Mus musculus: one gene and its partner. The main gene of each other region encodes a partner of the protein of the gene in region 2 in a complex. Links are inferred from orthologs where the notes say so. Each region holds a gene or a part of one and is shown on either strand. Other genes may lie near its edges.

Evidence for each region. The genes of interacting proteins can lie anywhere in the genome.
Region 1: the proteins of Actr3 (region 2) and Arpc4 are in contact, whole or in part, in a cryo-EM structure (PDB 6YW6), measured with the Homo sapiens proteins. The link is inferred for Mus musculus from reciprocal best matches to the Homo sapiens genes ACTR3 and ARPC4. Residues at the interface, in NP_005712.1 of Homo sapiens: Lys53, Gly54, Val55, Leu58, Glu121, Glu124, Tyr125, Glu128, Glu132, Tyr400, Glu401, Pro405, Arg409; in NP_005709.1 of Homo sapiens: Lys89, Arg92, Phe93, Met96, Arg97, Glu99, Asn100, Arg156, Ile159.

The regions. Positions count from the first base shown.
Region 1 is NC_000072.6:113,376,253-113,382,152, reverse strand, and holds the start of Arpc4 (actin-related protein 2/3 complex subunit 4), read right to left. Parts: upstream 4,041-5,900; 5' UTR 3,948-4,040; coding exon 3,945-3,947; intron 1,428-3,944; coding exon 1,309-1,427; intron 191-1,308; coding exon 79-190; intron 1-78. Other genes in the region: Tada3 (transcriptional adapter 3), read left to right, coding at 5,256-5,261. UniProt on the Homo sapiens protein: Actin-binding component of the Arp2/3 complex, a multiprotein complex that mediates actin polymerization upon stimulation by nucleation-promoting factor (NPF).
Region 2 is NC_000067.6:125,407,687-125,412,902, forward strand, and holds part of Actr3 (actin-related protein 3), read right to left. Parts: intron 3,689-5,216; coding exon 3,578-3,688; intron 930-3,577; coding exon 834-929; intron 1-833. UniProt on the Homo sapiens protein: ATP-binding component of the Arp2/3 complex, a multiprotein complex that mediates actin polymerization upon stimulation by nucleation-promoting factor (NPF).

The DNA of each region.
Region 1 (5,900 bases), on a different chromosome or scaffold from region 2:
TCCCAAGGGAATTCCTGGAAGCAGGCTCTGAATCTAGCTCTCTGACCATTCATTCCAATGGGATCCCTGGTGACTCACCTGCTTCACAGCAATGCTGACCCGGACAGAGTTGATGGAGCCTTCAATAAGAACCTTTTCCTTCTCATTCCTGCTGATGGTGACAGGCTGTAATAGCAGTTCTTTGCTACTCCTAAAACCACAGAGGCAGAGAATCAAGCTGGTGCCATTGACTCTGTGTAGTTCTAAAGGTACCTGTGCTCTATGAACTGTCACTGTTGGAGAATGCCCAGCGGGGCTGGAGAGATGGCTCAGCGGTTAGAGCACGGACTGCTCTGTCAAAGGTCCTGAGTTCAAATCCCAGCAACCACATGGTGACTCACAACCATCTGTAATGAGATCTGCCGCCCTCTTCTGGTGCATCTGAAGATAGCTACAGTGTACTTACATATAATAATAAATCTTTAAAAATAAATAAAATGTCCAGTGAAAACCATGTATATCAAGTAATAGCACGCAGCATACCATGTCTCTCAAATGGCAGCAGTCCATCCTAACGCTACAATAGTTTGAGTCATATAAATTACATTGGAGTTGGAGATACGGTTCAGTTGTAAAGTGTGTGCCTAGCCTGTCCCAAGGACCTGGGTTTACTACCTTTATCATCTAATGTGGGGGCGTGGCTTATCACAACTATGTACACCGCAGATTTACCCCCGCTGCAGCTTTTGGTTTCTTGAGAGAGGATCCACTGTGTAGCTGAGGCTAGCCCTGTCCCTGTGATTCTATTGCCTCAGCCTCCCATGTGCTGGGATTAGCAGTGTTCTATCATCTCCTTGCCAGGTGAAATTTCAAAGAGGAAGAATACTTATTTATGAAATAAAAACCAGTCAAGAGAAGACTGCTTTCAAAATATGGAGTGTAAAAAGGTCTAAGTTGTCAGACATATTAAAGATCAAAAGTAAAAAAAAGTCTCGATCCTTACATTAATAAAGTTTAGCGGCATCATCTCTGGGATCTAAATCCTGTGACCTTCTGGGGCTGCCGGTGGCTGTCACGCTTTTGGAGACACGTCCCCAGAGCTCTGCTCTAAAGGTCACACTCTGGGGTAGGTCTCCCATAGGTTCTGAATGGGAGCCCTATGACCCTGCTTTGGAATTAACCAAATCAGGAGGAACTATTCATCTGGCAACAAGACCAATGTCACTCAAGGTAGCCTGACAGTGCAAAAGCATAGATCCCTGGCCCCCTTGGGCAGGGCTTATTCTTGGGGGATGTTCTTCTCGGCCCCACTCTGACCTCGTTCCCTACCTGACTTCGACCTCTGGCTTGTTGTGTCGTTCCACGACCTGGGAGGAGAAGTTCTCCAGGCAGAGAGCAGCCTGCAGCGTGGCCCGCACGGCACTAAGGTAGGGGCGGAGAGTGGCAGTCTGCAGGAATAAACCCAAGACACAGGAAGGGTCAGAGTCTGCCTCAGCCAAGCAAAGCCAGTCCCTCACTGCAGCTCCTACACAACAGGCAGTACCGAAGGCTTCCTGCAGGGCTGTCACACAGAACAGACTACAGCCAGTCTTCAAGATGCAGTCCACTCAAAATCTCGAGTGGTTCCCAGCAGCAGATAATCCAGCTTGGCATCTCACAAAGTTTGAAGAAATAGTTGACTGTCATAGCCTGGGGACAGGGATACTACAGATATAAGTGCACACAGGCAAGACATGCTGCAATATCCTGGCATGCACAACAGAATTACACAGCATCACCAGTGCCAGAGCTAGGTAAGGCTGATGATCTAGAAGGAGCCATATCCCTATCTGCTGACTGCACTGACAAGTGTATCAATCCATGTCCTGAACTTGCTGGGAATTCAGAAGTGATCTCTCTTCTACCCTCAAACAGCTCAACTGGGCGAGAATCACAAGGGCTAACAGAGGGCAACATATAAAACTAGCTAGTCTTAAAAATAATCTAGACTGTCTAAAGAAACTGGTTTTGACCAGATACAGGATCAGGACGGTTCTACAATGAGAAAAAGTAAAAGCTGTCCATTCTCAGTGGACAAGGTCAGCTACAATGACCAGCTACATTATCTCGGGCAAGGCTTCTCTCCCCCCAGGGCTTATCACATGCTGGAGCATCCATCACCTGCAGCCCTTCCTCCCCGCAGCTTAGCTCAGCCTCTCAGAGCTCAGCTCAGTGGAGAAGGCCCCTTCCTTCCTCAAAGTGGCCTTTTTGACTTCCCCCTCAATGCATTTCTTACAGTTTATGGTATGTTCACTTTACATAAAATTCACAACAGAACGTTAGGAATAAATTTTTCCTTCACCAGTTTGTAATTCTCGTGGTCTACAGACATCAACTTCTATTCAGTTGTCAGGTTGTATCTAGCCCAGCACCTCCTATACATCAGGTCAAACCAATTTTCTGGAGAGTAAATGAACAAATGAACTAACTTAAGCAGGGCTAGATTTACACAAGAGCATTAAGACTTTCCAAACTGGTAACGAGTGCAAGGTTTCTGTATGTGAAAACTGCTTTAAATTGCACAGATCAGGCTGCAATGGCAGGCTGGGATAAAACCCTAGACAGTCTAGAATGCTTTCCACTGAGTTTTTCTCTCAATGTAGCAGGAAGCATTGGGACTTTCTGAGAAGGAAGTTACAGGGCTACCGCTGCACAGAGGCTCTCTGGAGGACGGGATGGAGAAGGAAGTGAGACTTGTGGCAGAGAAGAGGCACAGGCTGCGTGGGGCAGCGGAGACAAGCACAGGATCACGGACAGACAAACATCAGACAGAGGGGATAAAGGCTAAAAAACAGCTGTCATGTAGTTCAGCAGTGGGTTCTAGCTCCATACCACAGCATTCTCTTATGTCAACCAAGAAGAGGCAAAACCGGAAAGGCAAAATTAGTTGTGTGCGGTGACAAGTACCGTTGGGAAAGTGATAGAATATTCTTTTCTCTACCTCGATTGTGGCTACCTGATTATTTTGTCAAGGTTCATTGAAAGAAAACTAAATTTTAGATGACCAGCCCTGTGATAGTTACCCTTTAGTGGCTTGAAGAAATTGTACAATAAACTTGAATGCTTAAAAACGCAAAGTCAAAACTCAGTCAGCAGGAAATGGCTTTCACGCTAAGGAATGAAACCAGTTAGGACTAACACTGGAGCAAGCTTTAAAAAGTGACTTTTGAAAAAGAGGGTCTAATTTCAAAGTCTCTTCCCTGAGAGCATTCCCGGGCGTGCAACAAGCAGTCCAGCCTTTAGAACTCAGGTCGTCAAGGGCTGACCAGAGAAAGTAGTGGGAAGCCTGGGACCTTTCGGAGAACAACTGCACGGAGCACCCACAGATCCCAAACCCGAGCATGAAAGAGGAGGACCAGCGGCCATCAACATTTACACACGTTAAGGTCAACACGGTTCTGCACATCTAGGAAGGAGTCTGAATGCAGGCAAGCAACACAGAACCTTCATTGGGAGCTGGAAGGCAAGGCTTCCAGGAAGCGCCAAGAAGTAAGAAGATGAAGTGGACACTTGCCTCGAGGTCCCGTGAGACCGCGAAGGCAGGCAGGGACAGGGGGTTGTACTTAGCCAACCTCTACCGTGGACGGAGAGGAGGCCCCGCAGAGCGGTCCTACCTCAGCTGCAAGCCACCACCACGGGCTTCGCAGCCCGGTCTCCTGCCCCCTCCGAACATCGGGGAGAGGTCATTCTAGCCCGGGATTCCCAACCTGGAAGCTTCCGGGCCTGCTCTTGCTCAGAGAGCCTCCTGGCTCGCCCCTTCCTCCTCGCCTCGGCCCTCGCCCCACCCTTTGCCTCTCCATCCTCCCCGTGCCTCCTCATCCCGGGGCAACCTCGGGCCGCAAGCCCTAGCGGCAAGCAGCATCTCCCCCAGACCCACAGCCTCTACAGGCAAAACACAGGGAGGACCCCAACCCCTGGTCTCTCACCATCGCGGGCGCTGTCTGGGCCGGAAAGCGGAAGTGCGGAAGTGCCCGGACCCGCGACGCCTGCCCTTTCGAGAGAGGCGCAGCCGCAGTCTCCGACAGCACTTCCGGGCTGGACCATCTCGGGTAGGACCGGGGAGGGAGAGCCGAGAGATATTCAGATCTCCGGGGCGATTTCACACTGGGACCTCTGGGACTTGTAGAAGACCTGCTATGAGACAGTAGCGGTCGAGTCCCCTTGGATCGCTACACATATTCCGCCAGCGCCTTTAGTGCTTGTCGCTTTGGTTGTAGCCTCCCCCCGTGTGACAATAGTACAGCCCGACCTCAGGTTGGGCACCAAATTAGGACAGGCCGAACCGGAGAAACGTTTCTTCCGGTGGTGCTCCCCTATCCTCTCCGGGCTCCTCCCATTTGCAACCGTAGGGTTCGGCCGGGTAGCCAGTCCCTTGAGATTTGGGCTCTGGGCCCCACCCCAGCCCCGGGCTGCTTCCTAGCCCGGGACTCCTCAGGCCTAGCATTCCACCTCCCGGAGATTCGTAGGTGGCCTTAGACCCCCACCCCCACCCCGGCCCTACAGGCCACCTTGGGCTGGCCGTCCCCGCCCTCGCGTCAACTGCAGGGGGCCCGCCCATAGCCAGTTCCGGAGCAGTTGCTCCGATCGCCCTGAACTCCCCGCCCCCTCCTGCGGCCCAGGGCCTGTAGGAGGCCGCAGAGAGGAGGTAGGAGAGGCGGGGGTTGTGTTAGGGGCTCCCTAGAGGACGAGGACCCTGGAGGCGGGATCTTGGGGCGACACACAGGTGGAGCCAGCCATTAAGCAGTCCCACTTCTGTGCCAGGCACTGAACTGGGCACTTGACGAGCATCACCTCTTAATCCTCAGAACATTCCAGGGAGGTAGGTAATTCTCGATGCCCCCATTTTACAGATTTATACTTCTTAATGGGGAAATAGACTGAGGCATCATCTTTTGTCCTGGAAAAAAGAAAAACAAACAAACAAACAAACAAAAACCGGAGATTCAGGTTAAATAACATGTTTAGAAACGCACATAAGAAAATGGGCTGGAACTTAGTTCTGTTCACCTGACCAGCCTGTGTTCCAAACTAGCCAGGGACACAGAGAAGGTGCAGAGGTGGAATGGAGTGAGACAAGAGGAGGCAGGGAGAACCCTGTCAAATAGAATGCTAGAAACGACCCAACGTAGGGAAACAGAGGACATAGGAAGACAGGGCACACTAGTATCTCCTCTTCCTTAATGCTGCAGATTCCAGACTTCTGCGGTTCAAATTGCAACTAGGAGGCCGGCCTAATCATGCAGGTTTGTACACCTAGTGACTTGGGAGGCTAAAGCAGGTGGATCATAAGTTCAAGGCCTGGAATTCATGAAAGGGGGGGGGGGCTGGATGTAACTGTAACATAATTAAGTTTGGAGAATTTGTGCCTAGAATGAACAAGCGCTTGTATAAATCAGGTGTGGTACATGCCTAAAATTCCATCTCTTGGGAGGTGGAGACAAAACCTTGGCTACATAGCTAGTTTGAGACCAACCTGAGTGCATATCTTTATCCCAGCACTCAGAGGCAGGTGCTTTCTGGGGTGGGGGTCGGGAGGGGGAGCTCTATGAATCCTGATCTATGTAGCAAATGAGTATCAGGCCACTCAAGACTACATAATGAGATTTTTGTCTCCCCCACCCCAAAATGGGGGTGAGGTAGGGTCTGGAGATGTGTGAGACCCTTCAGTGCTACCAAAACAAAAAAAGACAATAAATTGCAGTTAGGAGTCTAGGCATGTGTACATACTCTTCTGGAGTCTTTTTCCTTTCTTTGTCAAAAGAAAGAAACCAGGCAGTGGTGGCACACGCCTTTAATCCCAGTAGAGGCAGGTGATCTCTGAATTGAAGGCCAGCCTGGTCTATAGAGTTCATTCCAGGCCAGCCAGAGTTGTTATACAGAGA
Region 2 (5,216 bases):
CACTACTCTTAAAAACTCAGAACTCAGAAGTTCCTAAGTGCAAGCTGCAGTATACAAGTACCTTAACTGAAAAGGCCATACACACTTCCAGACACCATGAGTTAACTAGAAAACCAGTAGCACACAATACCACTTTCCTACCAAGAATCTCATGATGGCTGATACAAAACAACTCTTCCCAGGGTGGGGAAGGGGATGGGGGTAACTTTTGTAAACTGAGTATCAGTTTTTTAAAAAAGGTAATTTCTTAAAATCAAAATATATGAGTAGTTACTAAAAACAGATGATAAAACTAACTTTGCCTGCTTACAATGTAACAAAAAAAGGAACCAAGAGGTATTTAGTCTACTACCCTCCTTTAAAAACAAAATAAAAAAGCCCAAAAACCAAAAAACCTCCCAACAATCATGTGGCTTCAGACTCCTGAGATTGCAGCCATGGCTCATCACCCAACAACAACAACAAAATCATTTCAATAATACAATGACTGCTTACCAGCACACAATATTTTTAAAGGTTTAACAATGAAGAGTTTCACATAATATTAAAAGAACCCAAACTAGAATATGTATATATTAATATACCAACCAGATTACAGAAATCTTACTGACTTTTGCACACCAAAGAAAGAAACAAATACTAAATGAGTGACGAGTAGCACCGAGAAGTCAGGCAAGCACAGCCCTACCGTGTCTAAATTGTCACCTCAGGAAAGCATGGTATGATTCAAATTATGCTAAAGCTTTCTAGGAAAAGAGATATGCATGGTTTAGGAGAAAATTAAGCCTGGATAAAATGTAAAAGGCAAGCTTAAATAAGCATAAGCCACTTACCTGCACAGCAATGTACAAGCCTGGAACATTGAAGGATTCAAACATTATTTCAGCAGTATATTCCCTGTTTTCTGGAGTATTCAGTGGAGGTTCAGTCTATTGAATTGAATGGTATTTTAAATAGACAGTATCAGATCACTTTAAACTTTATAGGCAATTTCTAAAGGGGAACTAATTTATAAAATAATTTGAAAGGCACTAAATTTATAGGTAAAAAGACACAAAGACTACAGGAAGACCATAGAGAGTAAAACAGACCTACACATATACAAAAATAACATATTCTCAGTGTCTGTGTGTTCCTTCCGCTTTTGCTCTTGTTGTTCCCCGTTTGTTTTGCCCATGCCGGCTGGTTTATGTTTTTAGATGCTTGTTTGTTATTCTAATGAGATAGAAACGAAAGGGTATGGATTCGGGGGAAAGTTAGAAAGATCTTCGAGGAACTGGGGGAAAGGAACTATAATCAGAACACATTTATTATAATTTTTAGTATAATTGAAAATTTTATTTTCAATTAAAAAACTGAATTGTTCAATATCATTACAAGTCACCACCAGGAAAACGCAAACTAAGACCAAATCAACAATCATAATGACTAAAATTAAAAGAGATTAACAGGCTAAAATGCAGGAGCAATTCGATTACAATGTTGGATGAAGAGTCACCCTAGGCCAGAGTTCTATACCAGTTAAGTGTCTGCCCTGCAGCAGAGCAAATCCACAAAAGAGATGAGATTAAATGTCTATAAGGACAAGAATGTTCAAAGAGCCAGACTGTCATACATAACTGCATGATGTAAATTTTACTATAGCACATCTTATACGAATTCATCAGTGTAAAAACCAACTACAGGCAAGATTAATCTCACTTGTAAAATAAAATTAAAATAGAATGATTCACTGGTTACCTCTAGGGAATAAGGAGCATAAATTAACTAGAAAAGGTATTGATAATGTGTTATTTACACAACTACAGCTGTTAAAACTAAAGGTGGACCAATCACCTAATTCTGAAAAACTACTTTACAGAAACACATTTATACTTACTGACTACATTAAGTATGGTCTATGGCTATTTCCACTCTACAGTAGAGCTGGATAGCTGTAACAAAACCTGCTACGCTCTCATTTGGTTTCTTTAGTATCCATCCGTCTGTCTGTCTGCCTACCTAGGTAGCTATCTAAACTATCTATCACATCTATCTACCTACCTACCTACCTACTACATACCTACCACTATCTGGCCCTTTTTCTTTTGCCACACCTGGTCAAAATCTATAGAATGATTTAGCTTTGTGATTTTTTTTATAGTAAACTTTATATGAAAAAGAATATAAGTGGATGCTCACAGTCTGCTATTAGATGGATCACAGAGCCCCCAATGGAGGAGCTAGAGAAAGTACCCAAGGAGCTAAAGGGATCTGCAACCCTATAGGTGGAACAACATTATGAACTAACCAGTACCCCGGAGCTCTTGACTCTAGCTGCATATGTATCAAAAGATGGCCTAGTCGGCCATCACTGGAAAGAGAGGCCCATTGGACACGCAAACTTTATATGCCCCAGTACAGGGGTAGCCAGGGCCAAAAAGTGGGAGTGGGTAGGTAGGGGAGTGGGGGGACTTTTGGGATAGCATTGGAAATGTAAATGAGGAAAATACCTAATTTAAAAAAAAGGAAAAAAAAAAGATTGTCATTTAGTAGACAATCTTGCTGACCCCTTTGGCATGCTAAATAAAGCCCAACAAGAGGACATGTTGAATTGAAAAAAAAAAAAAATGAAAAAGAATATAAACAAATAATGAACTGTTTGATGATGGACATACTAAATGTTTAAGCATGAATTGATTCTCATCTGTATATTGTTCATTTTGATGTGATTCAAAAACAAAACAGATTAACAGATGGATAAACCAATACATGTCAAAACAATTATGCTAAATGTAATTATACTGAAATGTTAATTATTGCACTTAGGTTGTAGGCATATAGGTGTCTACAGTTATGTTCTTTTCACTACAAATAAAGTCCAGCTACAAATAGTATTCACAAAGCACCACAATGAAACACTAAACACTAGATTAGCAAAACTCATACTCAAATAAAAAAAAAAAGACATAAAATATGACAGTCATTTTATGTTGTGAGATGATAAAAGGGGAAAAAAAGGCAATGTTCACTTATTCTACTAGGAAGTTAGAAGTCCCTATCAAATCGTTTAAAAACCAAGTAAGAGAAGCTGCTTCCCAGAGATGCTCTATCTCACTAGGCACAGGCTCAGAAGCAATAGAGCCAAACAACTGTGGAGGTTAGCCTCAGAAACTGAGCTGAAAGCAAACTTTCTTCCCTCCCATGATTTTGTCAGTGACGGAATAAACAAGTATTTTCGGGTGATAGCGTAATGATTACATATTAACCACCAAAAGCATTTACAAGATTACACTTTAGTGCTTGGCCACATTGTTACTCTACCTGCAGCCAGTCGGTTTTAAGAATGACCTAGTTTTATGTAACAAAGTCTTTCAGACAAGACAACTTAAATGATTAAGTATGCTTGCTAATTACACCAGAAACATTAAAATGTTCCTTAAAAATTTTCCTAGTAGGCTAGGCATCAAGGCACAGGCCTGATAACCCAGCATTTGGGAAGGTAAGAGAGAATGATACTGAGTTTAAAGCCATCCTGAGCTTATATATCCCATGTAGAAAAAGGGGGAGTCTCCAATAAATCAGAATGTGTACTTACCAAAAGAAAGTAATGATCTTCAGGTTCTGCCCTTAAATATTTAAAAATCACTTGCTCCATAAACCTTTCCATTAAGTCCCAGTCTTCAACTATACCATGGCGAATTGGCCACTATTAAAATAAAATTCAGAAATTAAGTCTTATTAATGTTAAAAATTTGAAGCAGAGACTATTAGCTCATTAGTAGATACTAGAAAAAGATGTATTTCTTTATAACACAAGGTCATCCTGAGGCTATACATGCTTAAGTAGAAATGTACATACTTAGAGAAATGAAATTATTTTTACAATATATATCCAGGTGGTTGAAACGTAAGATGAATGTTGTCAAAAATGTTAAACTTTATCCTAATTTTCTTAATCTTTAATTATTAGCTTGTTAACTGGTATCTGTTGTATATCTAACATAGTACACACTTGGTATCTGATATGGTAACACACACTTACTGTGTTGGCTACTAAGGAGGTTGAAACACGAGGACTGCTCACAACTTTGAGAGTACTCTGGGCAACAGTGAAATGTCACCTCAAAATAATAATAGTGCAAATCAGTAAATAAAAACATTGTTAAATATATAATATTTAATACTAGAATAATAATTAAGGATTTAGGATTTACTTTAGAAAGCTAAATAGGTTTGTGTTGAATCAAGGAATTCTAGGTTATTAGTCAATCCACAAGTACATCTGTGAGGCTTAGAATTCATAAGGATACACAGGATACACACCACACCATGTGCTAGCCTAGCCTACATCTGGTTTTCAACATCAGAGTGTGCTACACTACTTCATGACACTGTTTCTTTGAAAAATTGGGTTGCCAGCTGTTGCTATATAAAAACCAAATACTGCACACATACTCCCAAATCCAGGAAGGGAGGGAGGGAGGGAGGGAGGGAGGGAGGGAGGGAGGGAGGGAGAGAAAGAAAAGGAAATAGCAATCTCTAGTTCAATCCACTGTTAACAGCTATATCAGGCCAAGCATACCAATGGGAACTGTTAACCATGAGGGAAAAGTAATTTCCTTCAAATTAAGTTGCCTTTTTATGTGGCTACTATGGTGCTTGAACCTTGCTAGCTATCTACTTAATAAACAACTGCCACATACACTCTTTTTCAAAATCTAGGTGTCACTGTAAATGTTACTGACATTTTATAAAAGGCACCAAGAAAGCTCCCTATTCTCTGTGACAGATTACCTTTCACACATTCAACACCTAAGCAGCAATGAAGGGATAACTTAGCCACAGTGTTGTCCTGAGCACCCTTGGCTGCAATACTTCAGAAGGCATGTGTGATGGTTTCAATAGGTGTGGCCTTGTTGGAGGATGTGCGTTACAGAGTGACACATGTTGAAGAGCTTTGAGGGCTCCTAGTGCTCAAGCTCCACACAGTTTGGAATCAGTGCTGCCTCCTAGCTACCTATGGAACAGTCTCCTCCTGGTTCCCTTCAGATCAAGATGTAGAACTCTTGGCTCCTCCAGTACCATGTCTACCTGCACGATGCCATGCTTCCCACAATGATGATAATGGACTGAACCTCTGAAACTGTACACCAGTTAAATGTTTGTCTTTTTAAGAGTTGCTTTGGTCATGGAGTCTCTTTATAGCAATAGAAACCCAACCTAAGACAGCATGT